Linked DNA regions of Arabidopsis thaliana. The protein of the gene in region 1 purifies or fractionates together with the protein of each later gene. This does not show direct contact. Each region holds a gene or a part of one and is shown on either strand. Other genes may lie near its edges.

What was found.
Region 2: the proteins of AT2G23070 (region 1) and AT3G05060 fractionate together in Arabidopsis thaliana (co-fractionation; one large-scale study listed by BioGRID). This does not show direct contact.
Region 3: the proteins of AT2G23070 (region 1) and AT1G12380 fractionate together in Arabidopsis thaliana (co-fractionation; one large-scale study listed by BioGRID). This does not show direct contact.
Region 4: the proteins of AT2G23070 (region 1) and AT5G27120 fractionate together in Arabidopsis thaliana (co-fractionation; one large-scale study listed by BioGRID). This does not show direct contact.

The regions. Positions count from the first base shown.
Region 1 is NC_003071.7:9,822,410-9,830,117, reverse strand, and holds AT2G23070 (Protein kinase superfamily protein), read left to right. Parts: upstream 1-3,219; 5' UTR 3,220-3,246; coding exon 3,247-3,626; intron 3,627-3,960; coding exon 3,961-4,090; intron 4,091-4,209; coding exon 4,210-4,404; intron 4,405-4,611; coding exon 4,612-4,769; intron 4,770-4,972; coding exon 4,973-5,063; intron 5,064-5,201; coding exon 5,202-5,267; intron 5,268-5,373; coding exon 5,374-5,456; intron 5,457-5,553; coding exon 5,554-5,617; intron 5,618-5,733; coding exon 5,734-5,802; intron 5,803-5,893; coding exon 5,894-5,956; 3' UTR 5,957-6,476; downstream 6,477-7,708. Other genes in the region: AT2G23090 (Uncharacterized protein family SERF), read left to right, coding at 27-67, 342-461; CKA3 (Protein kinase superfamily protein), read right to left, coding at 775-834, 972-1,040, 1,112-1,175, 1,294-1,376, 1,466-1,531, 1,664-1,754, 1,908-2,065, 2,154-2,348 and 2 more. UniProt on the Arabidopsis thaliana protein: Casein kinases are operationally defined by their preferential utilization of acidic proteins such as caseins as substrates. The alpha chain contains the catalytic site. Involved in the regulation of various developmental processes.
Region 2 is NC_003074.8:1,411,220-1,418,712, forward strand, and holds AT3G05060 (NOP56-like pre RNA processing ribonucleoprotein), read right to left. Parts: upstream 4,838-7,493; 5' UTR 4,665-4,837; intron 4,370-4,664; 5' UTR 4,346-4,369; coding exon 4,265-4,345; intron 4,177-4,264; coding exon 4,135-4,176; intron 4,042-4,134; coding exon 3,862-4,041; intron 3,782-3,861; coding exon 3,617-3,781; intron 3,411-3,616; coding exon 3,210-3,410; intron 3,117-3,209; coding exon 2,619-3,116; intron 2,513-2,618; coding exon 2,378-2,512; intron 2,255-2,377; coding exon 1,955-2,254; 3' UTR 1,648-1,954; downstream 1-1,647. Other genes in the region: AT3G05070 (Cwf18 pre-mRNA splicing factor), read left to right, coding at 5,261-5,388, 5,686-5,818, 5,935-6,049, 6,256-6,314; AT3G05080 (uncharacterized protein), read left to right, coding at 6,819-6,926; LRS1 (Transducin/WD40 repeat-like superfamily protein), read right to left, coding at 7,354-7,452. UniProt on the Arabidopsis thaliana protein: Required for 60S ribosomal subunit biogenesis.
Region 3 is NC_003070.9:4,212,404-4,220,095, reverse strand, and holds AT1G12380 (uncharacterized protein), read left to right. Parts: upstream 1-2,683; 5' UTR 2,684-3,215; coding exon 3,216-5,597; 3' UTR 5,598-5,838; downstream 5,839-7,692.
Region 4 is NC_003076.8:9,538,019-9,545,541, reverse strand, and holds AT5G27120 (NOP56-like pre RNA processing ribonucleoprotein), read right to left. Parts: upstream 4,682-7,523; 5' UTR 4,563-4,681; intron 4,268-4,562; 5' UTR 4,256-4,267; coding exon 4,178-4,255; intron 4,078-4,177; coding exon 4,036-4,077; intron 3,947-4,035; coding exon 3,767-3,946; intron 3,691-3,766; coding exon 3,526-3,690; intron 3,332-3,525; coding exon 3,131-3,331; intron 3,044-3,130; coding exon 2,546-3,043; intron 2,446-2,545; coding exon 2,311-2,445; intron 2,161-2,310; coding exon 1,858-2,160; 3' UTR 1,477-1,857; downstream 1-1,476. Other genes in the region: AT5G27110 (Tetratricopeptide repeat (TPR)-like superfamily protein), read left to right, coding at 4,895-6,970; GLR2.1 (glutamate receptor 2.1), read left to right, coding at 7,231-7,492. UniProt on the Arabidopsis thaliana protein: Required for 60S ribosomal subunit biogenesis.

The DNA.
Region 1 (7,708 bases):
ATTTTTGTATTTGATCTCTCTTATAGGTAGCCAATTGGAAGCTAACAAGAAAGCTATGTCGATTCAGGTGATCACTTATTACTTTATATCATCGTCTTCGAAATCATCGAAATATTACAATTATTGGTTACTAGAATCAGCTTTTCTTAATAAGAATCCAATTATTATTAGTCCTTTGGAATTGTTTATGTAGTCATGAAACGTAAGTTTAATTGTCTCATGTTGATGCACAATTTCTTGTTGATCCTGAAGCTTTGTGTTAATGAACTTGTTATTTCTTGTTGATCCTGAAGCTTTGTGTTATATTAACTTGTTATTTGTTGATGTGTGTGTTTATATAGTGCAAGGTTTGTATGCAAACATTCATCTGCACGACATCGGAAGTGAAATGCAGGGAGCACGCGGAGGCGAAGCATCCGAAAGCCGATGTTGTCGCTTGTTTCCCTCACCTCAAGAAGTGATGAAAGCTATTATCTCAACTATAAAGGATTCCAATGTATAACGTATGGATCCTCATCTTTCCTATGTTTGTATCAAAGTCTCGACAAATTTTATGGTTTCTATTTCTCTCTACTTGTTTCAACAATAAGTCTCTTGCTATGATTATATAATGAAGCTTTGTGTGGAACCTTTTTTTTTAATATAAGTTGGCTTCTTTTCGCTGTTGATTATGTTTCTATGAAAGTAAAGATTACCACAATTTTGATACAACAAAATCATTACAAAGTTTTTGGTTGAAAAATAGTAGTAAGCATCATCAATCAAGCTTCGGTTTTACTGAGTTCGTAGTCTGCTGCTCTCTGCGGCTTTAACTTGAGCGAAGTATGGATGATCCTATAGATCAATAGAGAAACCAGAGATTATAAGTTTGACTTGATCATCGGGTAAAACAAAATCAAAAGATGTGTGCACATGAAGATCATCGGGTAAAACAAAATCAAAAGATGTGTGCACATGAAGAGGATTTTTACCATGGCTTCTCTTGCGGTTAATCTGTCTTGATGATCATACTGAAGAAGCTTATCGAGAAAATCAATTGCCTAAAGATGTATACAATGAGTCAATACACCCAGAACGAAGCAAAACTATGTTTTTCGAAAAAGAGTAGTACCTCAGGTGAGACCAAATGTTGGTTGTCCGCGTTGATAAACTTGGACCATGGTTTGGGGACATGTCTACAAATAAGAGTGACTTCAGGTTTTAACTCATTGGTATAAAATTAACTGAGCCAGAGTTGAGAACAGCAACAATTTTGACTTTTAAAGACAGAGAGATTCAGGGATGGAATAAAACCTTCCAACAAGTGCTTCCAGTTGAGGGTCAAGATCTAGCTGATATTTGTTTAGGTAATGATCTAACTCATTGGTTCCCAACACCTATGCACACGTTTCAATCAGAAATCATATACATGGATTTAAGTTTACAATGTAATTTTATGCCAATAAGTCATAGACTAGCAATATACCTTGGCAATTTTGACAAGTTGATCATGATTATCATGGCCATAAAAGAACGGTTCCTTACGGAATATCTGCAGCATCAATATTTGACAAGTGAATAAGCAACAGCAAAGTATTAACGACTACCATTCGGAAATTCAAATGCTTGCAATAGCTTCAGCATTGAAGCTAGAGAGAAGAGTGAGGGGATTATTAGTTCTCACCATGCCAGCAAACATGCAACCAAGACTCCACATGTCTAAAGAATAGTCATAATCCTGTAGATCAACTAAAAGCTCGGGACCCTTGAAGTATCTGGCAATTAATTCACAGGTTTTTAGTCTAATGCATTTAACAACTACAAGAAGCTTTGATTGCACAGCTAAAAGTTTCAATCATTGGCATCTACGAATGACCCTCTTAGGCTTGCCAAGACAGGTGGAATTAAGCTGTGGTATCGGATATTACCTCGAGGCCACGCGAACATTATACTCTTTTCCGGGATGGTAAAACTCAGCAAGGCCCCAATCTATCAGACGAAGTTTACGCAGCTGATGATCTATCATGACATTATGAGGCTTAACATCCCTATGCATTATTCCTTGAGAGTGACAGAAATCCAATGCCTGAAATGCAATAACATCAGCTCTGGATTCCACGATAAACATTTGTATGTACGGTAAAAGTCATTTATGGTAAATACCGATACATTACCTTCAGAAGCTCATAAATATAGTACCGGATATCGTAATCAGTCAATGTTGGATACAATACTTTAAAGTCCACACTGTTGACAAACTCAAATACCAAGCTAGGTGTTTTGGAGTGCTCATCTCTAACAATATCATACAGCTTAACAATATTTGGTCCACCACATAGGTTCTGAAGTATTTTGATCTCTCTCTTTATCTGCATAACATCAAGTTTCAGCAAAATTAGCCATCTTTATGTATGCAAATTCATCAGAAATGAGTTCTACTAACTGATCACCTTCTTCTTTTTTACGGGTTTGAGGATCTTGATAACGCAACGCTCATTCGTATTGACGTTTTTGCCTTCGAAAACTTCACTGTATTTTCCTCTACCAACTTTTCTCACAACCTCATAATCATCTTGATGACTGAAGAATCACACAAAAGTATTTAAGAATCTCACACTGTTGAATTTCAAAATCCAATATTTGCTAATAGATACTTAAAACAAAGTGTCTTCAAGAGACCTAAGTCCAAACCCTAAAAAATTCCAATTTCTCTGATTTCGAATTCGATTTGGCAACAAATCAATCAAATTCCACCGAAAATTTATCAAAAAGAAGTCAAAAATCGTAAATTCATCAAAGAAAAATTCTAAAGCTAGAAGTTTTACCCCCATTGAACAACGAGAGACTCGTAGTCCCAATACTCTTTAGGACGAACAACGTTAACATCTGTATAAACCCTAGCTTTCGACATCAATTTCGATCTGAAAAAATGGAGAAATTTGCGATCGCAATCTTCTCTTTGATCGTCAGGTTTGTTTCAAGTGGACGATGATGATGACAACAGAAGAAGTGCGTTGTGCAGGATTAGAAAAAGGTTGAAGAAGAATCTCTGATACCCAAAAACCACCTAAACCAAATCGAACCGATTCAACCACACTCGAACCGAAACAAACCCAATCGGATCGATTTCAATCACACTATAACCGGACCGAATTGTTTAAACGACATCGTTTCGAAGAGAAGCCAAAGAAAAAGAAAGGAGAGAAATAAAGCAAATTCGTTACCTTCACTTTTCATTTTCTGAATAAGAGTTAAAAAAAGACATTAATGGCCTTAAGGCCTTGTACTGGATTCACAATCTCCTCTCTTCGCAACGCTTCCGCCGCCAACAACAATCTCTTCTCTCTCCTCTCCTTCTCTTCGTCGTCTCCGGCGAAGAGGAATCTTCTTCTCTCTTCGCTCCAGGACAATCTCCGTCGTTTCGCATCCAGCGCTTCTCTTTACCGTCAACATCTCCGGAATCAACAACAACAACATCAGCAACAACAGCAATCGCGCGTGAAAGAAAAATCAGAAACGCTGGCTCAGAAGATCGGTAAATCTATCCGGCGTGCCGGTGCGCCGTCGAAAGCTAGGGTTTACGCTGATGTCAACGTTGTTAGACCTAAGGACTATTGGGATTACGAGTCCCTTGCTGTTCAATGGGGGTATATCTTCAGATTCTTCTCTAATTAAACCTAATTACGTCGATTTCTAGATGTTTGCCTTTGGTTATAGATTGGTTTGGGATTGGTTGTTCTGGAATCAATGTGGAATGTAGATTTAGGGTTTCGTTTCATATTTTTGATTGATGATATAATCTCGTAAGTAATGCAGAATTGGTATCTGATTTGTTTGTATTGGTATCTGTTTTGTTTGTATATAATCTCTTGAAAATTGCTGGTCTATGTGAACTAGATTGTTGAATTGATATCTTGAGTTTGTATGGTGTTGTTACTGTTTGGTGTATTAGTGTTTGAGTTAGCTTCATTGATGCCGCAGTGTACAGGATGATTATGAGGTGGTGAGGAAGGTAGGAAGGGGAAAATACAGTGAGGTCTTTGAAGGCATTCATGCTACTGATAACGAGAAATGTGTTATCAAGATTTTGAAGCCTGTGAAGAAGAAGAAGGTGAGTAGATACAGCCGCTTGCTTGTTTTTATCTCAATTGTGCTCAGAATGAAGTGTGTTTCTGGCCCTTCACTTGGTTTGAATTATTCTCTAACATATTTTGCTTCTCCTTGACGCAGATTAAGAGAGAGATTAAGATTCTGCAGAACCTCTGCGGTGGGCCTAATATTGTAAAATTGCTCGACATTGTTAGAGATCAGCAGTCTAAGACGCCCAGCTTGATATTTGAACATGTGAACAATAAAGATTTCAAAGTTCTCTATCCAACTCTCTCAGACTATGATGTTCGATATTACATTTTTGAACTTCTAAAGGTAATTATTCAGTTTCCTGAATTGTAGACCATGATTTTCTTTGCGGCTTTGGCAATTGGCAAAAGTAATCGGTAGATATATCATAGATGTATAGCGTCATACACTGTTGTTTACCTTACTTGACTTTTGAATCCACTAGCCTTCAGTTATAAAGGGTACGAATTTGTTTCTGATGCTGTTTGTTGTTTCTTTTTAACATTTATGCAGGCGTTGGATTTCTGCCATTCACGTGGAATCATGCACAGAGATGTGAAACCACATAATGTCATGATTGATCACGAGCAGCGAAAACTTCGTTTAATTGACTGGGGTTTGGCAGAATTCTATCATCCTGGGAAAGAATACAATGTCCGTGTTGCTTCAAGGTAGTTCCTTTTGGCTATCTGCTAATCTCTCCTCTGCAAGATTCTATTTGTTGCAGTTGCTAAATTTCTGCTCATAGAGAGTCTAGATAAGAAATGTTGAAGATTGCATGCATTGAGCTCTTGAGATTAGTTGAAACATATTATCTAACTTCGTCTAGCTGATGTATACTATTATCATTTCTCACTTCATATTTGATGAGCAGGTACTTTAAGGGTCCAGAGCTGCTGGTGGATTTACAGGACTATGATTATTCCTTAGACCTATGGAGTCTTGGGTGTATGTTTGCTGGAATGGTAAGCGTTTTAAGCTAGAATTTAGTTAACTTGGTTTAAGCTGTAATGGAATGACAAGAATTCGACAGTACATTTTGGTTATTTTACCATTCCTTAAGTTAGTTAAGTGGTGAATATTGTATACTCTACTGTTTGCAGATATTCCGCAAGGAGCCGTTCTTTTATGGCCATGACAACTATGATCAATTGGTCAAAATTGCGAAGGTAACATTACAAAAGCTTTCATCATGTCTCGTCTCCTCTGAACAGATTTTACATTCCTCCAAGTTATAGCTAAAAATACGATTCTATGTATTTATAACTATGGCAGGTGCTTGGCACAGATGAACTCAACGCCTACCTAAACAAATACCGTATAGAGTTGGACCCTAATCTAACATCCCTCGTGGGCAGGTAATCCGGTTTAAAAAGTTATGAAAAACTCTAAAAACTCCAGTTTTGCGCCTTATCATTTCAGAACATTAAATTATGCACTCTTGATTTTATATAGACATAGCCGGAAGCCATGGACAAAGTTCATCAATTCTGAAAACCAGCACTTAGCAGTTCCTGAGGTACAACACTTAACTTTTCTCTATACAATTATGAAGCCTTCATGTTAAGACCAAAACACCGGATTTTTTGGACGAACATGACTCATTTGTTTTCATATACTTTTTGGTTAATGAAGGCTGTTGATTTTGTGGACAAGTTGCTGAGATATGATCACCAAGAAAGGCCAACAGCTAAAGAAGCAATGGTAAGCAACAATTTTTCTTTAATATCTTTCTAAAGATTTTCTCTTATAATTACAGATAAGTGATAGTAGAGAATATGATGGATTTTTACAGGCGCATCCATATTTCTATCCGATTAGAAATGCAGAGAGCAGCCGTACGCCGCGCAGCCAGTGATCTCGAAAACATTTGCTTGTTCAATCTTCTGATTTTTCATTTCTTTACGGATTCAAATTTGTTATAAATCGATCTGTCATTGTTTCATTCTCTCAAGTGTGCGTGTGTTACTGTTTTGCTCTTTCTCAGTGTTTCATTCAACTCATTTGAATTTTATTATATAAAAAAAAATATCCACAAGACGGGTTTCAAAAGGTTTTTCTTTCTTTTCTTCTCATTTTTAATTTTCTGGAAAATTTCATATTCTTGAGCGGGACAGGTTGGTTTGGCTTGCCGGTTTTAGTTAGCCCGTTTTGACAGCTCCGTGGAAGGTAGAAGAAGCTCGCATCGGGAGTAGAGAGTGATGGTCGGTCAGTTAGATATATAACTGTAGACATAAGAAAGCACAAGAATCTCTAATCTAATCCAAATAGTGATTAGGGGACATTAAGCACGTAATCCGATCTTGAGTACTGTGTCTGTGGAACAACCTCGACCTATCTGTCTTATATCTTTTAAGTTTAGTTTAATCTCTCTGGTTCCCTTTGTCCAAATGATTATGCAATCATCCTATATTAGTTTACAATATAGCTGTCTGTCTCTTTCTTTCTTGTTGAAAATGATGCCTTAAAAAAATTACTCATCTCTTAAAATTTTGTGAATTACGCACACGCAAAGATATTGCTGTGTCTAAAACATATGAAACCAAATATGGAAATATATAACTAATAATTGTGCAAGATTTTCAGTATATATATGCATCCATGATCCATCAATCAGTTATTTTTTTCAAATTATTGGAGAAAATCATCCACCAAAAGAGAAATAAATATTTACTTTGGAAACGATTAAAAACGTTTGATAACCGGTGTGCAGTCTTGTGAATTAAGATTATCTTTTGAGTTTTGACACCTTAATCCAAAGTGAGATTTCACGCGTATGAGTAAATGAGATTATTGAATGATGTATTCTGTTGGAATGCTTTAGATAATCAGTTTCGTGTGATAAAGATTTTCTCATTCTGGCCAAAAAAAAATAAAAAAGATTTTTCTGTTTTTCATTCCTGTTTTTATATTGAAACGTTACATTTTTCATATTTAGATATGGGATCATCGGATCTTGAACGTGTCATTCTATCATTTGAATAATTTCTGTATAATGTCGTAGATTCATGGTGAACTAATAACACGTGATCAAAGGAAGCATGCAGGGCAAATGAGAACAATGATCGTCTAGCATGTATGTTTGTAACTTTACTTGAGTAAGAAATCTACAGTTTCAAAATTTTTCTAGATTTGAATTGAAATTATCCACTGATAATACATTATACATGTACGTAAAATCACAAATCATCTTTTTGAATCAATCAAACTCTATATAACCACCGTACTCGTGTACAATCGTGTGCAGTGTGCACACTTCACACTTCCCTACTATTTTTTAGTTTTTAGTTCTATCTTGAGTGGAAAGTATGTAAAGATACTTTTGTTCAAGTTGTGGAGTTTAAGACCTAACGAATCATATTACAATTTGGTAAGAGTAAATCAAAATCTTTTTATGAACATCGATGTGACTCAAACCCACGTACAATAATATGTGACTCATATTTAACCGACCGATATTTAGACCGATGTTACTTCTGATGAATCAACAGGTTCACATTACAATGTTTATATAATCTACCTTCCGGAAATTTTTTAGTATATATACATATGAACTTGTGTGGTTTTAGGAATGCATATCGGGACACAATATTTTTTTGTCGACGTCGGT
Region 2 (7,493 bases), on another chromosome or scaffold:
CAACATGTTTCTAAAAGAGAGATCTCTGACTCAATCAAACCTCTTTGAATCAACTTTGACTGCAACACACACACATACATGAAAAATTGAAACAGAAAAAATCAGAAAACAAACAAGAAAATTGATTCCAACTAGAAACACATCGAAGATCAGATTTGACTAAAACAGGAGACTTAGAGAAAAGGGTTGGTGAAATTTACTTACTTTATGATCGAGGAGAAGCGAAATTCTGGACCAAGCTGGTCAAATCTGAGACTTGAACAGAGAAAGAAAATTAAACCCTAGTTTTAAGACAGGAGACAAGTCAAAGGAAGGTAAAGATCTGAAACTTGTTTAGAATTTAGACACAACACAAAGCTGACTCAAACTCAAAGAGACAACGAAAATAGGAATGAAATGAGGGATGATTTCAAAAACTCCACAAAGAGAGGCAAAAAGATAAAGGAAAAGGAAAAGAAATGGAGTCCAAGAAGATTTTAAAAATGAAACCTTTAAAGCATACACAAAAAAAGAAGAAAGAAAAATCAATTAGGGCTTTGGAGAAAAGGCAAGGTGATACATACACATATACAACAGAGTCGTAGACCAATAATAACTCTACTATTGTTTAAGAAGGAAGAAAGAGACCAACTTGGGTAAAAATGTCTCAAGGAGAAGAAGGATTCGTTGAACTGCTCTTCGAATTTTACTTGAAAAAGAACTCTCTTTAGTTTTCTGCGAATCAGACAAGAAAAAGGAATAAATAGAAACAGACGAAGATCTGTTGGCTCTTTGTTATTATTATTATTATGTGTAAGTAATTGTTTTTGGACGCAACACCAATACGGTCAAAAAGGCTCAAAGTTACTACTCTTCTTCAGCCCCCACCAACTTAAAAACCTCTGAGCACCATTTTGTACTCATTTCTTCTCTCTTTTCTCTATCACAATTTTCAATTTTAAAAATTTGTGGAGTACTATAAGTCTATAAAGTTTGGGGGAGATTTTAATGTGTAAGAGGTCCAATGGTGTTAAAGAAGTGGTTTTCTCAATGACATTAGAATATTAAAACTGATCTATAATTTTGTTGGTCAAAAACAATATATTACTTAGCATATGTAAAGAATATTTGGTATGTACCCACCTAATTTTGGAATTTATTATTAAAATAAACACTAAGAGTTTTTTTTAATATTAAAATAGGAATTGGAAAAACAAATAAAATAAGAAATATGGTATGTAATGAGAGTTTACTTCATCTATCCAATCAAAGAAGCTCCTTTATCAAGACTCTATTGTAAACCAAACAAGGAACAAAAGCTTAAGGAACTAATGATTTACGTCTGTCCTTTAGAATTAGCCATTTTATTTCTTTTATGACTTAAAGCTACATATATTATCTATTTATTCATTCATTCCCAGCATTATTGCTAACTACTATGTATTCTTGTAGACGATATACTAATTTTATTGACCTCATTAATTTGATTAAAATCTTGCCAGACAATAACCAAAGATAAACATGCATAGTCAACAAAGAGAAATACGATCATGAAAAAGATACTAACGCCTGTAAAAAATCTTTAAAATCAAAACAAAATCAAAGAGTATTTTATTTGGTGAATCTACAGACACGTTTAGTAGCAAAAAACTATTTGATTTTTTCAGAATATATTATTTTTCTTCAATTCTTTCCTCTTCCAGATATATATAAATCATGCAAGAAGAATATTGTACAACTACAAACTATAAATTGAAAAAAGAGTTCCAAAATTAATAATCTAGAGTCTGGAAGGCTAGAACAAAAATAAAGTTCGGGTGAAAAGGATTTAAATATGAATCCATCATTCAAAATGACGATTTCAGAAAATTTAAGTTTCATCTTAAAACACCTATTCCTCTAGATAAAATGCAATTCAACAAAAACAGTTATTAATCTTACACTCAAGAGATTTCTCAAAATCGGTTTCTCTCCCTCAGTCCTTACTCTTCTTTTTCTTCTCTTTCTTATCCTTCTTCTTGGCTGGTGTCTCCGTTGTTTCTTCTTCCTCATGCTTTCTCTTCTTCTTATTCTTCTTCTTCTCCTCCTTTGCAACCTCTACTACGGCTTCAGTTTCTGCTTCAGCTTTCTTCTTCTTCTTTTTCTCTGATGGCTCTTCCTCTTCGGGTTTCTCTTCTTCTACCTTCTTCTTCTTTTTCTTATCTTTCTTCTTTGATGGCTCCTCAGATTTAGCTGAGGTTTCCCCAAGAAGAGAATCTGCAGCAGTGTTGTAAGTCTGCACATAACAAAAAACAGTCAAGATCACTTCATCATAATCCCAAGAACAAAGACAATATGTACACACATCCAAAATTAGAAGAAAAGATGATGAATCAAAAACAGAGAGAATGATCGTGACCTTAGCAGGAGTGATAAGACCGCCTGATCCCATCTTTTTATCCTTGTTATAGACTTCAATCTTAGGTTTGCCTTTAGATGAACCAGACAGACGACCTAAATCTTTTCCTTCAAGATTTCTCAACCGCGCTTCAAGCTGTGAGTTTTTAACACATATCAGAAACATCATCAGTTAAGAAGGAGGAAAAAAGATTGTTCAGAGAGATACCAACAAGAGGAAAGCTATTGAAGAATTTTGTTACCTTAGCTCGGTTTTCAAGGCCCATAGTGTTATCTTGGCTATCACCAAGAGCATCAACCCTAATAGCAAGAACAGTTTTAGCAGCTAAAGACCGCGAGATCTTTCCCTTGTGCTTTGGTGCTGCTTGACCAACCAGAGATGCGTGAAAAATCAAACCGTACTTGGGTGTGGCGTGTTTTGTCTTAAGAGCTCTAAAGAGAGCTTTTTCGGCTCCGAGTATCTGAACCGTGCTCCCAGGTTGCTTGGAGAGGTTCAATAAACTACCTCCATGGGAAATAAGACGAGCACCAACAAGCTCTCCTACCAGGGCAGTCAGATTGGGAGCAATAGTGTTCATTCTGCTCTTTAGGTAATCGTAAAGCTGAGCTCTGTACTCAGAAAGAGAGAGAACCTGGTCACAGAGTTCACGGATGTGCAACAAGTCTAAGTCACTGACTTCTGTTCCCATGGATATCACAGCTGCGTCCTTAAGATCTGCCTCAATTTCATCTGCTAAGATCTACAATGAAACCAGAAACAGGAGAATATTAGGTCGTTAATCAAGGCGTTTGTTCATGGAAGCCTCTACACAGTTTACAAAATTGAAAGTTACCTCGGAGAAGTCTAGCTTAGCAGCATTAACTCGGTTTCCCATCAATTTAACAGATTTGGCATATAGGATATTGTCTGATATGATCTTAGCAAGCTCGGGAAAATGCCATCCATACCATTCTCTAACCCTCATGGCGTATGTGTTCAGCTCTTTGTCAAGATCATCAAGCAGACCAATAGCTTGGATAATCATGGTATCCACCTGACAAAAACTAAACAGTTAGGAGATGCAAGAGAAGCAAAAACAAACACAGGAAACGTTTAATGTCGGACAATCAAAGGCTAGTTCAATACAGAAGTTCCATAATTTAACACAAGTTAGCTTCGATCAATTAACAAATTCATATACTTCACATATCATATCACCAAATAAAAAGACCAATACAATTAGTCAGGAACCGAAGATACCTTGTCAGAACTAAACTTTAGCTTATATCTGGCGAGACTGTGAGACAGACCCAAGCTCATAGGAGCCAAGTCTTGATCACCCAACCCAGATATGAGTTCAGTAAACTGACTTCTAACACCACGTAGAAGCTCCATAACAGCATTGTTGTGAATGCAATCAATTTTCTGTATGAAATTAAGAACTTTCATTAGAAACAAAACACAGAGCAGACAGGAATATGGGTGTAATGATGGGAATTACAAACCAGTTTCTCCTTGATAACATTCCCAAGCTTTGAATCAGCCACAGCCAAGGTTTCACCTTGACAATTAGCTTTCAAAAACTTGCGCAGACCTTTGCTTGGAGCTCCCTCCAGCAATTTAGCCACAGCTTCGAGAGCTTCAGATGTATTGTCAAACTTCTCAAAAGCTTTTAGCTTAACCATCTGGTACACCAATAAAAACATATGAGAAACTCAACACTAAATCTAATTTTAGATGTTCTGAAACCACACTTGATGAAGAAGCAAAAAAATTACCTTTCGTGCTGAGTCTGGAGTGTCGAACTCTTTACACAAATCCTGCAAAAAAAAATAAAAAATAATCCATGAATACTTTTAGAGCCTTAAGGATAAGCAAAGAGAGTACAAAAGAATGAAGAGAACTCACCTCGACGTTAGCCATCTTTCCTTCATCTTTAACTTTAAAGAGGGCAAACCCCGCCGCTGTCTCGTATAGCACTAAGACCATCTTCACAAAACTCTTAAGCTGGACCTGAAGAGAAAATTAAGACAACACTTAACTCAGAACAGTAAAGATACGTGTCCGAGTCACACTAATTAAACTAAAAGTTCGTTTTGAGATTAAAAACTAGCGAGAAACAGCATTCCATATAAACCCTAATCCTACTTTTAGATCACATAAGAAATACAGGAGAAGAAAAAACAGAGAGATAAACTACAATAGCCTTAAAACTCTGTCCGAGTATGAGTATTCGAAACTCCACAATCTCCAGCAAGAATGGAAAAGTGAAACACCGTGAAGAGAGAAGATGAGAGATATTAAATACCTGAAGAGTTAATCAAAGCAGCTGCGTGAGAGAGAGGAAGAAGATGAAGACGGAGACGGACAATCACTTAGGGTTTTAAGAGTGTGTTGTTATAGCAGTTAAAGACGAGCCGAGCCTTCTTAAAACGCCGCGTATTGTAAGGGGTATTTCTATAACTTCCATAGTTAGGGTTTAGGTTTTAAGATTAATGGGCCTGACTGAATGGATATTTTAATCTGGCCCGTTTATAATATTAATACGTGGGCGTTTTATTGTTCTCTTCCCCCTTAATAGTTTTTCTTTTTTAATCCCTTTGTTTCTCTGTGGTATTCAACAAATTTGTCTCGAATTTATAGAGCTCGAAGCTTCAAGGTACGGTTTCAAATTTTCTCGTTGATTTTCTGGGTAGATAGCGTTTTCCATACTTCTCTTCAACTTTATTTCATAGTATAGCTCTGATTTTGCTAAAACTTCATCTGATTAGTTCCGTGGATCCTGAAAATCACGATTTTGCGTGTTGTTTAGGGTTATACTCTGTAGTTGTGTGATTAGTGTTTGAAGAAGCTGGGCTAGTGTTCGATGTTTACGTCGATAACCTAATTTTGCAGGAAGTTATAATGGCTAGTGAAGATGAATCGATTGAACAAAAAGCTGCTGCTCGTAAAGAGGCACTTAAAGCTCTAAGGGCAGCTCAGGAACTGTCTGAGACCAAGGAAGACGGAGAGGATGAAGCTGTCGAAGAAGAGTGAGTTTGCTTTGTTCTTTGCTTATTTTGTTTGTCTTGACTAGCACATGGAGTTGTTAATGTTGTGTGTTGGCTTTAGCATAACTAGGAGCTTCTCTTGTGCTTTGCTTCTCGCCTTTACTATCACTGTTTGTGAGAGAATCAATAATGGTGCTCTTGCAGCATCTGTTACCTAACAATTTTTTCCAATTTCAAGTTGCATTGTTGTGTATACTTTGCTTAGGTGGTTGGTTTTGTTGATTGATTATTCGAGGTAGATTCCCTTTTTATTCATATGAATTGTCTTTGATTTTACAGTGGTCCAGCCATGAAGTTTAGAAACTATGTTCCCCAAGCTAAGGAGCTTCAGGATGGTAAACTAGCGCCACCAGAGCTACCCAAATTCGAAGATCCGATCGTTGCACTTCCACCTGCTGTAGAGAAGAAAGAGGTGTGTGTGACAGTTTTTCTTTTCTCTGTACAAGGATCACCAAAAGCGACTCTGTTTAGCATTGTTGTTTCCTTTACTTGTGCCTCTTAAGCTTACAAAAAATGTTATCATTGTAGGACCCATTTGTTAACATCGCTCCAAAGAAGCCAAACTGGGACCTCCGAAGAGATGTGCAGAAGAAGCTTGATAAGCTCGAAAGGCGGACTCAAAAGGCAATGCATAAACTCATGGGTAAGTGGCAACTGTATCTACATACTGATATCTTCTATGTAAGCTTGATAATTAAGACATTAGTCTGTGGTTCGTGAGTAAGTGAGTAACATTTCACTGAATCTGTTGGTAGTATGATACCAAATCATAGAAGTCCAAAATAGAGTGATCTGTTGGTGTTTGTTTATTATGGAACTAACACATGCACTTTCATCATCTAATTGCAGAGGAGCAAGAGAAAGAACGTGAGATGGCTGAAGCTGATGGTAACACCATAGAAAGTTGAAACCCAACGACGTCATCAAAGAAAGCCACCACTGAACAGTATATTCTACTCGATTTTGTTTAACTGTTAAAGCATTCGAAGTGAGTAGACCATGTAAAATCCTACAGCCATTGGCATAGACATAGTAGGTTTATCTTCTTGTGTGAATCAAAGAAAGTCGCAATTTATTTCCGAGTAGAATTAAGTGCGGTCCGGTTTTTCTCTAAATTTGGTTCAACATCGGTGGTAATCTAGTTTGATCATTAATGGAACTGCGTTTTTTGGTTTGATTCGATTTACTGTGGTTTGATAAAGACATCCCAAACTAGAAACCAAAGTTTTGATTCGGGCTAGACGGGTTTAGTTTGGAGTCTGGGAAAACAACACAGAGAGCTTCTAAGACCTTTCTTCTCGGCATGTTGCTTCCACAGTGGGATGATGGAGTTTAGATACAATATTTGTTTATTAATACCGAACAATCAAAAATAGATACTAAGTTTTTTTGTTTTCCAAAGCTCAAACCTAATGTACAAATTCAGTAAAGCTTTCGACACCATCTCACCTAAATATCTTGGACCTTTATTGGTGCCCACTTCTCATGAATCCAAGCTCCAAAGAAGAGAAGCTAAGTAAACACTAGGCCAAGGTAAACCAAGATATATGCTTTTCGAAGGAACAAGCAATGAAAAGCTATAGACTTCCATGTGATTAAATGCACCAGCAGACAGATCCCAATCTGTAGAGCAATAAATGAATATGGTGATATTCAATTTCAAGGCTTCGATCAACATAACATTATTGTTCCTATCATTTGTTTCAAACCAAAAAGAGCAATCTACAAAGGCTTTGGTATCAGGAGTTGTGAAAAAGCTCACATGAAAAATCTACCAACTCAAGTATCTCTATTTTTCTTTCTGATGAAAATACCTAATATGAAATCACCTTCCCAAGTAAAAACTGTCAAGTAGATGGAGCCGCTCAATAAATTTTATCTTGACAACACACCAACATAATGCATTACCACAAGTTTTCACCTTTTTCTAATATTTTACCTCAAAAGTTATCTAGCTATAGCCACTCTGTAGTTGAGAATCAGATCCTCAGGTTTCTTCCATACATATGCCCGTACAGTTGCTAAACTCATATCTGGAGATAAGACCTGAAATAATCACAGAGAAACAGCTCGTTCAGCCTCATACT
Region 3 (7,692 bases), on another chromosome or scaffold:
AAGTACGTACCATTTACGCCGGTTTAATATTTCAGTATTATGAATCTATGATTTATAAGCCATTGGGCCTCTATAGATTTAGCCCAATTAAATAGTAAACAGTTTGGGTTTGGGCACGAGAGCCGTGTAATTTTTGTTGAGTCGTGTATAATTTTTTTTAGGTCATTGTCTTATTGTATAGTTTTAAGGAAATCAAAAATGAAAAATTAAAAACAAAAATGGTACCAGAAACCATTCAATCATGTGATTGAGAAAAGCCAGCTGTTTTCTAGTACGAAGAAAAACAAGCTTCATCTTTTCCATGTATTTTTCTTTCTTTCTTTTCTCAAGAACGGTGAATCCATAACTTATAATTGCAAGGATTAAGAGATTGAGATTATGAAGGATAGCATTTTGGAATTGTAATATGGTTTAGCTTAGTCGGATTTTCCTCACTAATTATAGATTCTGGCCTCTCTAGTGTGGTTCAATTAAGTTGTAAAATAAAGAAGCTATGTTAGTAACTAAATCCATCCAAGTTCAATAATCAAATAATTACTATCGCTATCAATGTAAAAGGTGGCATTATTTTTATTTCAACTATTATTATTTCTTACATGGTATATATATATTTATTTCGGGTATAACACGATATAGTGGAGTGGTTGGGAAAAGAAGTTCTCGTACAAGATTGTAAATCAAGCAATTTACGTTTGATACAGTAATAATCAATATCAGTATTTTTTTAACTGAAAGGATTGGCTCTTCGTTTTCACTAACTGGAAAATGAAGATTCAAATTTATAACATACCTATTTTCTGTCAACAGTTACTTATTTTTAGTTAATATATGCATTTAGGGACCAATCTTGAAATCTCATTCCACGTATGAAAAGTATCATGCAAAAAAGTATATATCAATTCTAAACATTTTATTTTCAAATTTCATTCACAAAATCAGCATTATTTTATTTAAGTGGAGATTAACGTAAGAAGTTACTTTGATATATTGTTACATTGTTTACATTGTAGACACCTTAAGTTAATAAAACGTATGACAAAGTGATGTTATTAATAGTTCTCATCACTATATTGCAAACGTCGTTTATCAAAAAATAAAATTAGAGGGCATAATCCATGGTTTTTGGGTGGTTGGTATGTAACAGACAAGATCATTCTTATAGATAGTACTATCCATCTTTTTAAGATAGGACTGCTCTAAATTATGTGGTAAGAAATTAATTTTCTGCCTTTTTATTATATAGATACAGTTATGGGTGGATTTTGTATATTAGACTTTAGAATTCATTGATCATTCATACATATAAGCATGCATACATGATACTTCTACATTAGAAGGTGGGAGACAGTTGTGACATGGATTTTATGACATTAGATATTGACCAATTAAAACTTGACTCCTACTAACCTCCACTTATAACTTTAATTATACGTTTTACTAAGAGAGATTTACAAGTTCAAGTTCAAGACACTTTTTGCATTGGAATAAGAGTAGAAAATCAAGGGTAAAATATAGAAAGACTTATGTGTGTGTGTGTGTATGTGTGTGTGTGACACATAAGAAATAGTCTTTGTTGTGGTTAATTAGCTGGAATAGTTGATCAAGAAAATGTGTTTTTAATATTCATTAGTATGAGTTTGTTCGCATTGATATGGTTTTATAGGTTGTATTAAATTATTCATAGATCAACGACATACTAAAGTAAAATTCTAAGTTTTTGGCTATGAGTGAAAAGCATGTGTACTTTGTTGGACTGCTACAGATTGGTTGGTATTTAGCTAAATGTGTCCATTGGCCAGTAATTTTATTTAGGTAAATATTGGTCCTCAGTCATAATTTTATTTAGTGTGTGTTCATGTTTTTTTGGGTTTTTACTTTTAACTAAAAAGAGGTAGAAGTTGTGAAGAGTACAAAGGATGTTGTTATTCATGAATCATGACTTCAAACTTCTAACGACGGCCAAGACACACATGATTCATGAACATTCATACAAAGCAAATGAAAGCAAAATTGCTATTGAGATTAACAAAAAGTAAAAAAATGGTTGGAATTAGTAGGAACCAAAAGTGTCGGTAAAAAAATGGAAGTTGTAAAAGGTTGCAGTCAAAAATAAACAACTTTCAACACAAACCAAAAAAAAATATTTACAAAGAAATGTACTTTATGAGTCAACAGAAAATGGTCAACACAACACAGTCTCTGCGTTAATGTCTTTCATTGTCTATCTAGAAACAAAAATTAAATTCTCACTCTACCCTTTTATGCCCAAATTCTGAACTCATCCCACGTAGACAATAGGACACAAATGGAAATCCCACTCACCCATTTTTTTCATTTTTGTAATCAAATCCAAAAAAAATGTTCAAAAAGTGTCTTCAACGTTCACATAATCTCTAACTAAATTCACAATAAGGATTCTATAAACCGAATTAATCATTTAGATTTTTTTAAAAACTCAGCCTATGTTAATAATTCTTTTTTTACCAAAACTTAGAGCCTTCAAAATTCTCAAGATCCCAATTTTGTTTTTTTATCCGTTCAACTGAAGTTACGAAAGTACATTACCATTGGTGGTTGAAACTGTATAGCACAAGAAAAACATTTATAAAGATTAAGAAGAGAAAAAATCTAAATAAAATGCATTAAATTAAGGTCCCAAATAGTTCCAATTTTTTTTTCTTTTAAATATTAAAGTAGGAGACAAGAAAAGAGATTTTCGAAAGAAAAAAAGAAACAAAAGTTGAAAGAAAAAAAACACACATAACAAAAACAATCCCCCAAAACCAACTTAAAGCGCGTGACTAAAACGCTCCAATGATGAGAAAGCGAGATAGACTACGAGCCAATGTAACGTTTGTGTTCTCGTACGACGTGGGACTCTCTTCTTTCACCTCCATGCGCGTGTGCTTCAACCTCCTCTGTAACTCTCTCTCTTTCTTCCATATTTCTCTCCTCTTCTTCTCCGCTCTGTCTCTTTCTTCGAAAAAACCATTCACAGTCAAGAACAAGAGCTCACTAGAAAGAAAAAAAACTAAAGAAGTGAGTAAAAATTTCATTTCTTCTGATCGCCGGAAAATGGCAGCGACGTTAAAGATCGTCGTCTTCCGGCGAAATCCTACTGCTGAAGAATGTCACACGTAAAATCCAACTCTCGCTTAAAACCCTTTTAGCAAGAGCCTCGAAATTTCCGATTTAGAAACTTTTTTTCTTTCTTGATGGCGACGACTAACGCTCACACGGCGACTCAACAGACACCACCACCACCACCTCCTCCTCCTCCAGCTCCTGCTCCTCCGGCGATGGATGGGTTAACAACAGACGAGCTAACAGCAAAAGCATTAAACAAGAGATACGAAGGTTTAATGACGGTGAGAACAAAAGCAGTGAAAGGTAAAGGCGCGTGGTATTGGACTCATCTTGAACCAATCCTCGTACGCAACACCGACACTGGTCTCCCTAAAGCCGTGAAGCTTCGTTGTTCTTTATGCGACGCCGTTTTCTCCGCCTCTAATCCTTCACGCACTGCCTCTGAGCATCTCAAACGCGGCACGTGTCCTAATTTCAACTCTGTTACTCCCATTTCCACCATCACTCCTTCTCCTACCTCTTCCTCTTCCTCTCCTCAAACTCATCACCGGAAACGTAACTCCTCCGGCGCTGTCACCACCGCGATTCCTTCTCGGCTTAACCCTCCTCCCATCGGAGGCTCTTATCACGTCACGCCGATAACCGTTGTTGATCCTTCTAGATTCTGCGGCGGAGAGTTGCATTATTCAACTCCTCCGCCGCCGCAGCATTTGATGCTCTCCGGTGGAAAAGATGACTTGGGTCCTTTAGCTATGCTTGAAGACAGTGTGAAGAAGCTTAAGAGTCCTAAACCGTCGCAGACTCAGTCTCTTACCAGATCGCAGATAGAGTCAGCTTTAGATTCTCTCTCTGATTGGGTCTTCGAGTCCTGCGGCTCTGTTTCTCTCTCGGGTCTTGAGCATCCAAAGTTTCGAGCTTTTTTAACACAAGTTGGTTTACCAATCATCTCCAAGAGAGATTTCGCCACCACGAGATTGGACTTGAAGCACGAGGAAGCCAGAGCAGAGGCTGAATCGAGAATCAGAGACGCAATGTTCTTCCAAATCTCATCGGACGGTTGGAAACCAGGAGAGTCCGGCGAGAGTCTTGTGAATTTGATTGTGAATTTACCAAACGGGACGAGTTTGTACAGAAGAGCGGTACTTGTGAACGGAGCTGTGCCGTCTAACTACGCAGAGGAGGTCTTGTTGGAGACGGTGAAGGGTATTTGTGGAAATTCACCTCAGAGATGTGTTGGGATAGTCTCTGATAAGTTTAAGACCAAAGCACTGAGGAATCTGGAGAGTCAACATCAATGGATGGTGAATCTTTCTTGTCAGTTTCAGGGACTCAACAGTTTGATCAAAGATTTCGTAAAAGAGCTTCCTTTATTCAAATCCGTTTCACAAAACTGTGTGAGACTAGCTAAGTTCATCAATAACACCGCGCAGATACGTAACGCTCACTGTAAGTATCAGTTGCAGGAACATGGCGAATCGATAATGCTTAGGTTGCCTTTACATTGCTATTACGACGATGAACGTAGAAGTTGTAGTAGTAGTAGTAGTGGTAGTAACAAGGTTTGTTTCTACGAGCCGTTGTTTAATCTTCTTGAAGATGTGTTGAGTTCCGCTAGAGCAATTCAGTTGGTAGTACATGATGATGCTTGCAAGGTTGTTTTAATGGAGGATCATATGGCTAGGGAGGTTAGAGAGATGGTTGGTGACGAAGGGTTTTGGAACGAGGTAGAAGCGGTTCATGCTTTGATCAAGCTTGTTAAAGAGATGGCTCGGAGAATAGAGGAAGAGAAGCTGCTTGTAGGGCAATGCTTACCTCTATGGGATGAGCTAAGAGCTAAGGTTAAAGATTGGGATTCTAAGTTTAATGTAGGGGAAGGACATGTGGAGAAAGTCGTTGAGAGAAGATTCAAGAAGAGTTATCATCCGGCTTGGGCTGCGGCTTTTATACTTGACCCTCTTTACTTGATAAGAGATAGTAGCGGAAAGTATCTTCCTCCGTTCAAATGTTTGTCGCCAGAGCAAGAGAAAGATGTAGATAAGTTGATAACAAGGCTTGTGTCTAGAGATGAGGCACACATTGCGTTGATGGAACTAATGAAATGGAGAACCGAAGGGCTTGATCCTATGTATGCAAGGGCGGTCCAAATGAAAGAGCGTGATCCGGTTTCCGGAAAGATGAGGATAGCGAATCCTCAAAGCAGTAGACTTGTTTGGGAGACGTATCTTAGCGAGTTCAGGTCACTAGGAAAAGTTGCAGTAAGGCTCATTTTCCTCCACGCTACGACTGGAGGGTTCAAATGCAACTCCTCTCTTTTGAAATGGGTAAACTCGAACGGGCGGTCACATGCAGCCGTTGATCGAGCTCAAAAGCTGATCTTCATATCCGCTAACTCGAAATTCGAAAGGAGAGATTTCTCAAACGAGGAGGATAGGGATGCAGAGCTTCTCGCTATGGCTAATGGTGACGACCATATGCTAAACGATGTTCTTGTCGATACGTCCTCAGTGTGACATTTGAATCTCTTTTTTGATCAATTTGATTTCACCTTAGTTTTTCATTAGAATTTGGCATTTCTTTAGGATTGTTTAAATTCATTTCTTTGATTTACTAGTATCTCATTCATACTATCATTAATATTCAATTTGTACTTGGTTTCTTTAGAAGGTGATTGAGAGTATTTGTATTTCTTTAGTCTATATAATATACCATCATAATTTTTCGATATAACATATGTGTCTATTTCAGTTTCTTGTCCTTATCATCGATGTATCGGTTAGAAGTTAGAAACTCTAATTAATGACAGCTTTTGCTTCTTCGTCTCTTGGTACAATAGTGTAATGATCCCACTCGCTTTTTTCATCGGAAATTCATATTCTTAATCATGACTTGAAAACATATCTTTACTTTTCGAGAGAAAATGACTTAACTTTTGAAAGTTTAATGTTCTTTCTTCATGATAACGTTTGTTGTTGGCAATGACAGACTAAAGATGCATATACTTTTGATATCTTGAGTTATTGAAGAGCAAAACCTGATTAACGGGTTTCAATTTAATTTTAACCATGATTATGATTATGAGATTATCTATCTATATCAATCTATTAAGTCTTTTAGAAGAACAAAAATGTGGATCCCCACCATGAAAGCAAGTTTTTCTTGGCTATTGTATACAAGTTCATTTTAAAGCTGTAAAAGGTGAAATTGTGAGATTGTAAATGTGAAGAACCCTTTTTGATGTTTATAAATGAAACCTTGTTAATCTTTTTGTAGCAAGATGTGTGATTTACCCATGATTTTTTTACGGCTATGAATAGTTGGAAAGGTTAAAAGATTTCTTCTTTATTTATGAGCCCATGGTATTGTACTTTGTGGGGTATTTAAAAAACTGTAACCCATGATTTATATTCTTGTAAATCATAACTTTATCAATAGTACCACAAATTTTGAAATCTAGTGGCAAGATTTCATAAATGGACTGACCGGACAGCTAAAGTGAAATTACACAAATTAAGTAAGAACAGTGAAAGCAAAGAGAAAACAAACAATTATTTCGAAATAGTAAAGAGAAATACAATTATTTAGATGCTATTTTTCCATTTAAGTTACAGACAAATAGATAAGTCAAGTACCTCTTCTTCTTTTTTACACACATGCTCATACACACACATACACACAAACAAATATGTACGACATTCTAAAACACTGTTATATTTAATAAGTAAGTTTCATACTTATGTATTGTTAAATAATAAAGTCGAATCTATATATAGGTTACTGATTGAAGGAAATATAGGTTTTCACTTAAATTATTTAAGAAGGAATCATTTTCATTGGAGTGGTAATTTGTAACTATGCTGAACAAGAGGGGAACCCTAAAAGTAGAAATCAATAATTAAATTTTATACCCCACAAATAGCAAAGTATACTACTTTTTTCTTTTATATACACTTTTTTTTTTCTCATTGTAAAACTTTGAACTTTCTAGCATGCATTATATTCACTTCGCCCACCTCCTCGAATAGTTGATCTTTAAAAAATCAAAACTTAAATTAGGTAATAGTTATAAGAAAATCTTAGAATACATCGGCTTTCACTTTTATTACTACTGCATGTACATCATCATTTCAATGAAAATTAAAAGACACAGAAACACAAGTTTTTTTTTGTCAATATATTAAATAATATGAGTTCATATTTCGTGGAAATAAGAGGGTAGTGTAATTATGTACTCATATAATTACAACCTAAATAAAGTTGTTGTAATTATTGGTTTGGTATTTTCACCATTTTGGTGGTGAGGCAGAATTTCCTGTCGGCAATGCTGACTTCTCACCAAATCTCTCTCGAATTATATGAATGTGTATTTGATTTTCTTTTTGCGTTAAAAGGTTTAAAAAAGCTAAAAGGAGAAAAGAAAATGAAGAATAATCTAAATGATTTGAAAGATAACAACATATTTTTTTTTCTACTACACAATAGTCAGTAAACAAACTTTAATGTTGTTTCAAGAAAACTAAAGTTTATGTTTCTCTCCTTTTAACCAAAAAAAAAAAAATCTCGACAGTACGATATTTGTTATACATACATATTTTTTTCAGCTTTGAC
Region 4 (7,523 bases), on another chromosome or scaffold:
ACGTATGCTTTAAGTCTAAAATTTTGCACTTCCACAATCGTAAACCAATTCACTTCCTTTTACTATTCAATAGAATATTCTTTTTTGACAAAAGATAAATTTAAATTTTTTTAACCACTTTTTCAGCAACTACTTCTTCCACGTTATTAAGATTCTTTACTTTCTCTCCCATCTTTCAAACCCTCTGCCAGTTAATTTACGATCTCAAGAGCAACCGTATAAGCCATTCTCAAGAAGATAAAAACAGGTTTAAATTCTTCTTCTTCTTTCCTTTCTCATAATCTTAGATCCTCCATTCTTTCATCTAAATACGTCTACCAGAGAAACGAAAGAATGACGTAAATAATGAAAGTTGAGACTTTTGTGATACCTAATGTGATGGACGCTGTTAACCCCTCACGACTCACTGAGTTTGGTCCACCCAATCGCTGGTATGAATATCAATAAACCTTTGGCCGTTTTGTTGCGTTTTACTTGGTCTTATCTTCTTACATTTTCCATGCACACCCGCTGCTACAAAATGACCACATGAGTTTGCGAGAATCATATAGAAACAAAATGGATGCAAATGTTTTGGGGCTTTCAATTCAGAAAAAGAAGAAGAAGAAGAAGAAGATAACCAAATTGAGAGATGGGTGGCATGACATGACATCTTCTTCCACGGTGTAGTGTGCAAAATAATTTAAATGTGAAACCATCTTATATGTTCAAGTTTAGAAAAGCGTTTTGGTTAGAAGGTAATTCATTTCTCCATCATTATTATTGTTAAGTTTTTTGAGAAGAAAAAACGGCTCTGTATATATATATATATTTTTTTCTATATATCTATGAGATAAGTTAGTGTATTTATGTAAGATTATTTGCTGTTTCCAATAAAAGTTTTCTTAATTTTAACACATATATTATTTTACAATTTGAGTAAAGTTGAATAGGACTTTTATTGAGAGTTATAGAGCAATGTGTGATACACATTGTATTTTGTGAGGTTGTGATATTCGTCATTTGTGTAATTGTTGCAAATTTCAAAGACACGAAATATATTATTGGTATTGTTGTTTTGCGTGCAAGGCACGGGCTGCCTACTAGTTTACTTACAAATAAAAAGACTTTATAAATTAAAATCCAGTTCGATAGGTGTCTAGGCAGATTTTTTGAACATTACCTACAATGATTACATAAAACACTATAGATTAAACTTTTTCCACGGCAACTAAATTTAATTAAAAATAAAAAAAACTTTATGAATTAAAATCCAGTTAAATATTTTAAAACATATATGTTCAGTAGTAAATTTTGATATTGACGGAACCATTATCACGAAATATTCAGAAAGAATTTTGATTCATATTCATCACAAAATTTATAGCACAATAAAAATATATACACACACAAAGTAGGTAGACTCTAGATTTTATTTATCTTTTGAAATTTCTAAGGTCTGGTATGATTTGCCTTATGCTCAACCCAATCCATTTCCAATTGACTATTAAGGTACTTTTTAGACTCACAAATATTCATTTTGTACAAGGTTTTTTAAAATGTCAATGATACACTTGATGAAAAATGTCGACTCTTCGGACTGATCTTTACAAATTTATGAACTAATCAACTATGAGTAATTACGTTATACTAAGATTAGAAGGATTTAACGGTAAGGTCTTGACTCGTTTGGCAAAATGCAAGTTTCTGGGATAAGGACTAAACCAAACATATTATAACCTTACAAAACGAAGAGTAGTTCTTTTTTTTAAGTTTCAAACAAAACAAAAACCTTACTTAACACCTAACGCCACAAAAGATTTTCTTTGTTTCTGATAACAAAGTAAACTAGACCACGCAAAAATATTAAAGGTCTCTTCAGACCTCAGTTTTCTTCTTCTTCTTCTTCTCACTCTTTTCCTTCTTCTTAGCAGGCATTTCAGTTTCCTCTTCCTCGTGTTTTCTCTTCTTCTTCTTCTCCTTCTTTGCAGGCTCTTCGGCGGTTTCAGGTTCTGCTTCTGTCTTCTTCTTATTCGATTTCTTCTTTGAGGGCTCCTCAGTTTTGGCTTCTTCCTCATCATCAGCCTTCTTCTTCTTCTTTTTGTCTTTCTTCTCTTTCACACCGTTCTCTGAATCCACTGTGGGAGTTTGAAGAAGAGAGTCTGCAGCAGTGTTGTATGTCTGCAGAATACAACAACAACAACAACAACAAACAGCTTAATCCTTTAAGCAACATTACAGGTAATATATCCAAAACACAATTGCACAAATCCAGAATTCATAATTACAAAAGAAAGTTGAAGAAACAAACTAGCAGAGGAATAATCTGACCTTAGCAGGAGTGATCAGACCTCCGGATCCTTTCTTTTTATCTTTGTCATATACTTCAATCTTTGGTTTGCCTTTAGCTGAGCCAGATAGACGTCCTAAATCTTTTCCTTCGAGAGTTCTCAACCGTGCTTCAAGCTGTCAGAAGAAAATAGCCCGCATGGTAAACATCAATCAAGGTAGAGTATTTTTAGATCAGATCGAGAGGAAGATCGGAAAAAAAAAAATTGAAGGATACCTTTAAACGGTTTTCAACTCCCATAGTGTTGTCTTGGGAGTCACCAAGAGCATCACAACGGATAGCAAGAACAGATTTTGCAGCTAGTGACCGTGAAATTTTACCCTTGTTCTTCGGTGCAGCTTGGCCAACAACAGATGCATGGAAAATTAAACCATACTTTGGAGTAGCGTGTTTGGTCTTAAGGGCTCTAAATAAGGCTTTTTCAGCTCCAAGAATCTGAACCGTGCTTCCAGGTTGCTTTGCGAGGTTCAACAAACTACCACCGTGAGATATTAAGCGAGCACCGACTAGCTCCCCGACAAGGGCAGTTAGATTTGGTGCAATTGTGTTCATTCTGCTCTTCAAGTAGTCATAAAGCTGAGCTCTGTACTCGGCAAGAGAAAGAACCTGGTCACAGAGTTCTCGGATGTGCAATAAATCAAGGTCACTGACTTCAGTTCCCATAGATATCACAGCAGCCTCTTTCAGTTCTGCTTCAATTTCATCAGCCAATATCTGAGAGGAGGACACAGAAACAATGTTTCAAAAAAAAAAAAACTAGTGTTAAGCACAAGGAAGTCAAATACTCAAACAGGCCTTTACCTCAGAGAAGTCTAGCTTTGCAGCATTAATCCGATTCCCCATTAGTTTAACAGCCTTGGCATATAAGATATTGTCCTGTACGATCTTAGCAAGCTCAGGAAAATGCCAACCAAACCATTCACGAACCCTCATAGCGTAAGTGTTAAGCTCTTTGTCAAGATCATCAAGCAGACCAATAGCTTGGATTATCATGGTATCCACCTAACATACAAGTACAAGGTGAAGTAACATAAGGGTCAAACAAACACAGGATATATAGACAAACTCAATTGCAATTCAGACCTAATGTTGGAAGAGTAAAAAAAGGGATACCAAAAGTTCCATAATTTATCAAAAGTTGGCTAACTCAACAAATAATTCAGAGAACCAAAAACCAATACAAATCAAATGACTACCTTGTCGGAACTGAACTTTAGTTTATATCTGGCAAGGCTGTGAGACAACCCCAAGCTCATTGGACCTAGATCTTGATCACCCAATCCAGATATAAGTTCAGTTAGCTGGCTTCTGATACCTCTTAACAGCTCCATAACAGCATTGTTGTGAACACAGACTATTTTCTACACGAGTGAAGCAAAACCGTAAGAAACAACCCTTACTCAGAAATAAAAGAGCGTATCGGAACAAAATACACACCAGTTTCTCCTTGATGATATTTCCAAGCTTAGAATCAGCAACAGCTAATGTTTCACCAACACAGTTAGCTTTCAAAAACTTGCGTAGACCCTTGCTTGGAGTTCCCTCAAGCAATTTAGCCACTGCTTCAAGAGCTTCAGCTGTGTTGTCAAACTTGTCAAAAGCTACTAGCTTCACCATCTGTAACAACACACCAAAAATTGCTATGAGAAACAAATATTATTAGCCAGATACAAAATTTGAACTATGTCTAGAACAAAATAAATCACCTTTCGGGCTAACTTTGCGGTCGAGAACTCATTACCCAAATCCTACAATCACAAATTTGACATACTTAGAATTAAAAAACCAAACCACACACAGAAACAAGGTTAAGATAAATGAACAAAGGAGAATGATTTAGTTAGTAACCTCAACATTAGAGAGCTTTCCTTCGTTTAATACTTTGAAGATGGCAAAACCACCTGGCGTCTCAAACAGTATTAGCATTTTTACAAGCTCCTGAAAAGAAGAAAAAACAAGATTAAGAGAAACCCTTGAATCAACTCAAAGTCACCAAACTTGCAAGTTAGTGTTTTACGAGCTAAAGCCATTAAGCTAGTACGAAACAATATTCAAGGTAAAACTTTTTCCCTGTTTCGAAGTTTACAAATCAGAATAATAGTTAAGGCAGATACTCTGTTCAAATTCTTGAAAATCCGACAAAGAACAGAACTATACTTTGTCAAAGTCTTAGAATTTTGGAAGCTTATTTGCCATAACAACGAAGAAAGAGAGGGCGAGAGAGATTCAGTACCTTAGAGGGTTAACGCACAACTACAGCTTTAGAGAGAGCTAAAATCAGGAGCCGCGATTCTGCTAGGGTTTAAGATGGTTTTTATAGTTGTTGAAGAAGGTTCAGAGATTCTCAAAACGCTGCGTTTTTATTGCTAACGGCGCGTTTTTGTAACCTAGGGTTTTAAAACGCATCGCTAATTTAGAAAAATAAATCATTTTGGGCCTAATTAAGTTTGGCCCATTAGTATAAACGACGTCGTAGTTTGAATCATGTCTTTCCTTTATAATTTAGCTAAAGCAGCGACTGATCACATTTCAATCTCTCACGACAAAAAAAAATGTGAACTTGAAATGGAATCTTCAAAGTTGTTGTCTTTATTGCGAGAGTGTACCAATAGCACCAAGTCTCTAAGAAGAATCAAGCTTGTGCATCAGAGAATACTCACGTTGGGGTTACGAAGAGACGTAGTTTTATGCAAAAGTCTCATCAATGTCTACTTTACTTGTAAAGACCATTGCTCAGCGAGACACGTCTTCGAGAACTTCGATATACGATCGGATGTTTACATATGGAACTCTTTAATGTCTGGTTATTCAAAGAACTCAATGTTTCATGACACTCTTGAGGTTTTCAAGAGGTTGTTGAATTGCTCAATTTGTGTCCCTGATTCGTTTACTTTTCCGAATGTGATTAAGGCTTATGGTGCGTTGGGTAGAGAGTTTCTTGGTAGGATGATTCATACTCTTGTGGTGAAGAGTGGGTATGTTTGTGATGTGGTTGTGGCGAGTTCTTTGGTTGGTATGTATGCAAAGTTTAACTTGTTTGAGAATTCACTACAAGTGTTCGATGAAATGCCTGAGAGAGATGTAGCATCTTGGAACACGGTTATTTCGTGTTTTTATCAAAGTGGAGAGGCAGAGAAGGCTTTGGAGTTGTTTGGAAGAATGGAAAGTTCTGGCTTTGAACCAAATTCAGTTTCGTTGACGGTGGCTATATCGGCGTGTTCAAGGCTGTTGTGGTTGGAGAGAGGGAAGGAGATACATAGAAAATGTGTGAAGAAAGGGTTTGAGTTAGATGAGTATGTAAACTCTGCCCTTGTTGATATGTATGGGAAATGTGACTGCTTGGAGGTGGCTAGGGAGGTTTTTCAGAAAATGCCTAGAAAGAGTTTGGTTGCTTGGAATTCTATGATCAAAGGTTATGTCGCTAAAGGAGACAGTAAGTCATGTGTTGAGATTTTGAATAGAATGATCATAGAAGGAACTCGACCGAGTCAGACAACCTTGACCAGCATTTTGATGGCTTGCTCTCGCTCACGGAATCTCCTACATGGAAAATTTATACACGGTTATGTGATTAGAAGCGTTGTAAATGCAGATATCTATGTGAACTGTTCCTTGATTGATCTATACTTCAAGTGTGGTGAAGCAAATTTGGCTGAAACCGTCTTTTCAAAGACACAGAAGGACGTTGCTGAGTCATGGAATGTCATGATTTCTAGTTATATCAGTGTAGGTAATTGGTTTAAGGCTGTTGAAGTGTATGACCAAATGGTGAGTGTTGGAGTGAAGCCAGACGTGGTAACTTTCACAAGTGTTTTACCTGCTTGTTCGCAACTGGCTGCGTTAGAGAAAGGCAAACAGATTCATTTGTCCATTAGTGAGAGCAGGCTCGAAACAGACGAGTTGCTTTTGAGTGCGCTTCTTGACATGTATTCTAAATGCGGCAATGAAAAAGAGGCTTTTAGGATTTTCAACAGTATACCAAAGAAGGATGTTGTATCATGGACGGTAATGATCTCTGCGTATGGATCTCATGGTCAACCCAGAGAAGCACTTTACCAGTTTGATGAAATGCAGAAGTTTGGTCTAAAACCTGATGGGGTTACTCTTCTTGCTGTATTGTCAGCTTGTGGTCATGCTGGGCTAATTGATGAGGGTCTCAAATTTTTCAGTCAAATGAGATCAAAGTACGGAATCGAGCCTATTATTGAACATTACTCGTGCATGATTGACATTCTTGGCCGAGCAGGTCGGTTGCTTGAAGCTTATGAAATTATTCAACAAACACCAGAGACAAGTGACAATGCAGAGCTTCTCAGTACTCTCTTCTCTGCTTGTTGCTTGCACCTGGAACATTCATTGGGAGATAGAATCGCAAGATTGCTTGTTGAGAATTATCCAGATGATGCATCAACCTACATGGTCTTGTTCAATTTGTATGCTTCTGGTGAGTCATGGGATGCAGCAAGACGAGTCAGATTAAAAATGAAAGAAATGGGATTGAGGAAGAAACCGGGCTGCAGTTGGATTGAGATGAGTGACAAAGTGTGCCATTTCTTTGCTGAGGACAGGTCTCATTTACGAGCTGAGAACGTTTATGAGTGTCTTGCTCTTTTGAGTGGTCACATGGAATCCGGTCAATGATTCTTATGTTATTGTTAATTATGCATGAGACGAAGTCTCCTCCTTTGCAACGGTTGACTTTAATTGTTGGTTAAATTAGAATATGTAAAAAAAAACAAGTTGCTGCCTTAAATATTATATACTTTGGAATAAATTCAACAAGTTCGTAATTAACAATATCACGACTTCTCCAATTACCAAAGGGTCTCATGCCACACCAAAGAGCATACATATAGACCACCAAGTTTCATTCTTTTTCGGCTAAGTAGAAGAAGAATAAAATGAAGAGAGAAAACAACCTCGTTCTCAGCTTACTCTTCTTTGTAATCGTCTTCCTGATGCAGGTCGGAGAAGCACAAAATAGGATAACCAATGTAAATGTGGGAATCGTGAATGATATCGGAACGGCTTACTCCAACATGACTTTGCTCTGTATCAACATGTCTCTTTCTGATTTCTACTCTTCTCATCCAGAAACCCAAACAAGGCTTGTAACCACCGTTGTTGACTCCAAAAATGATGTTGTTACCGCAGCAGCAGCAGGTACACGCATACCCATTTCTCTAAATTTGCA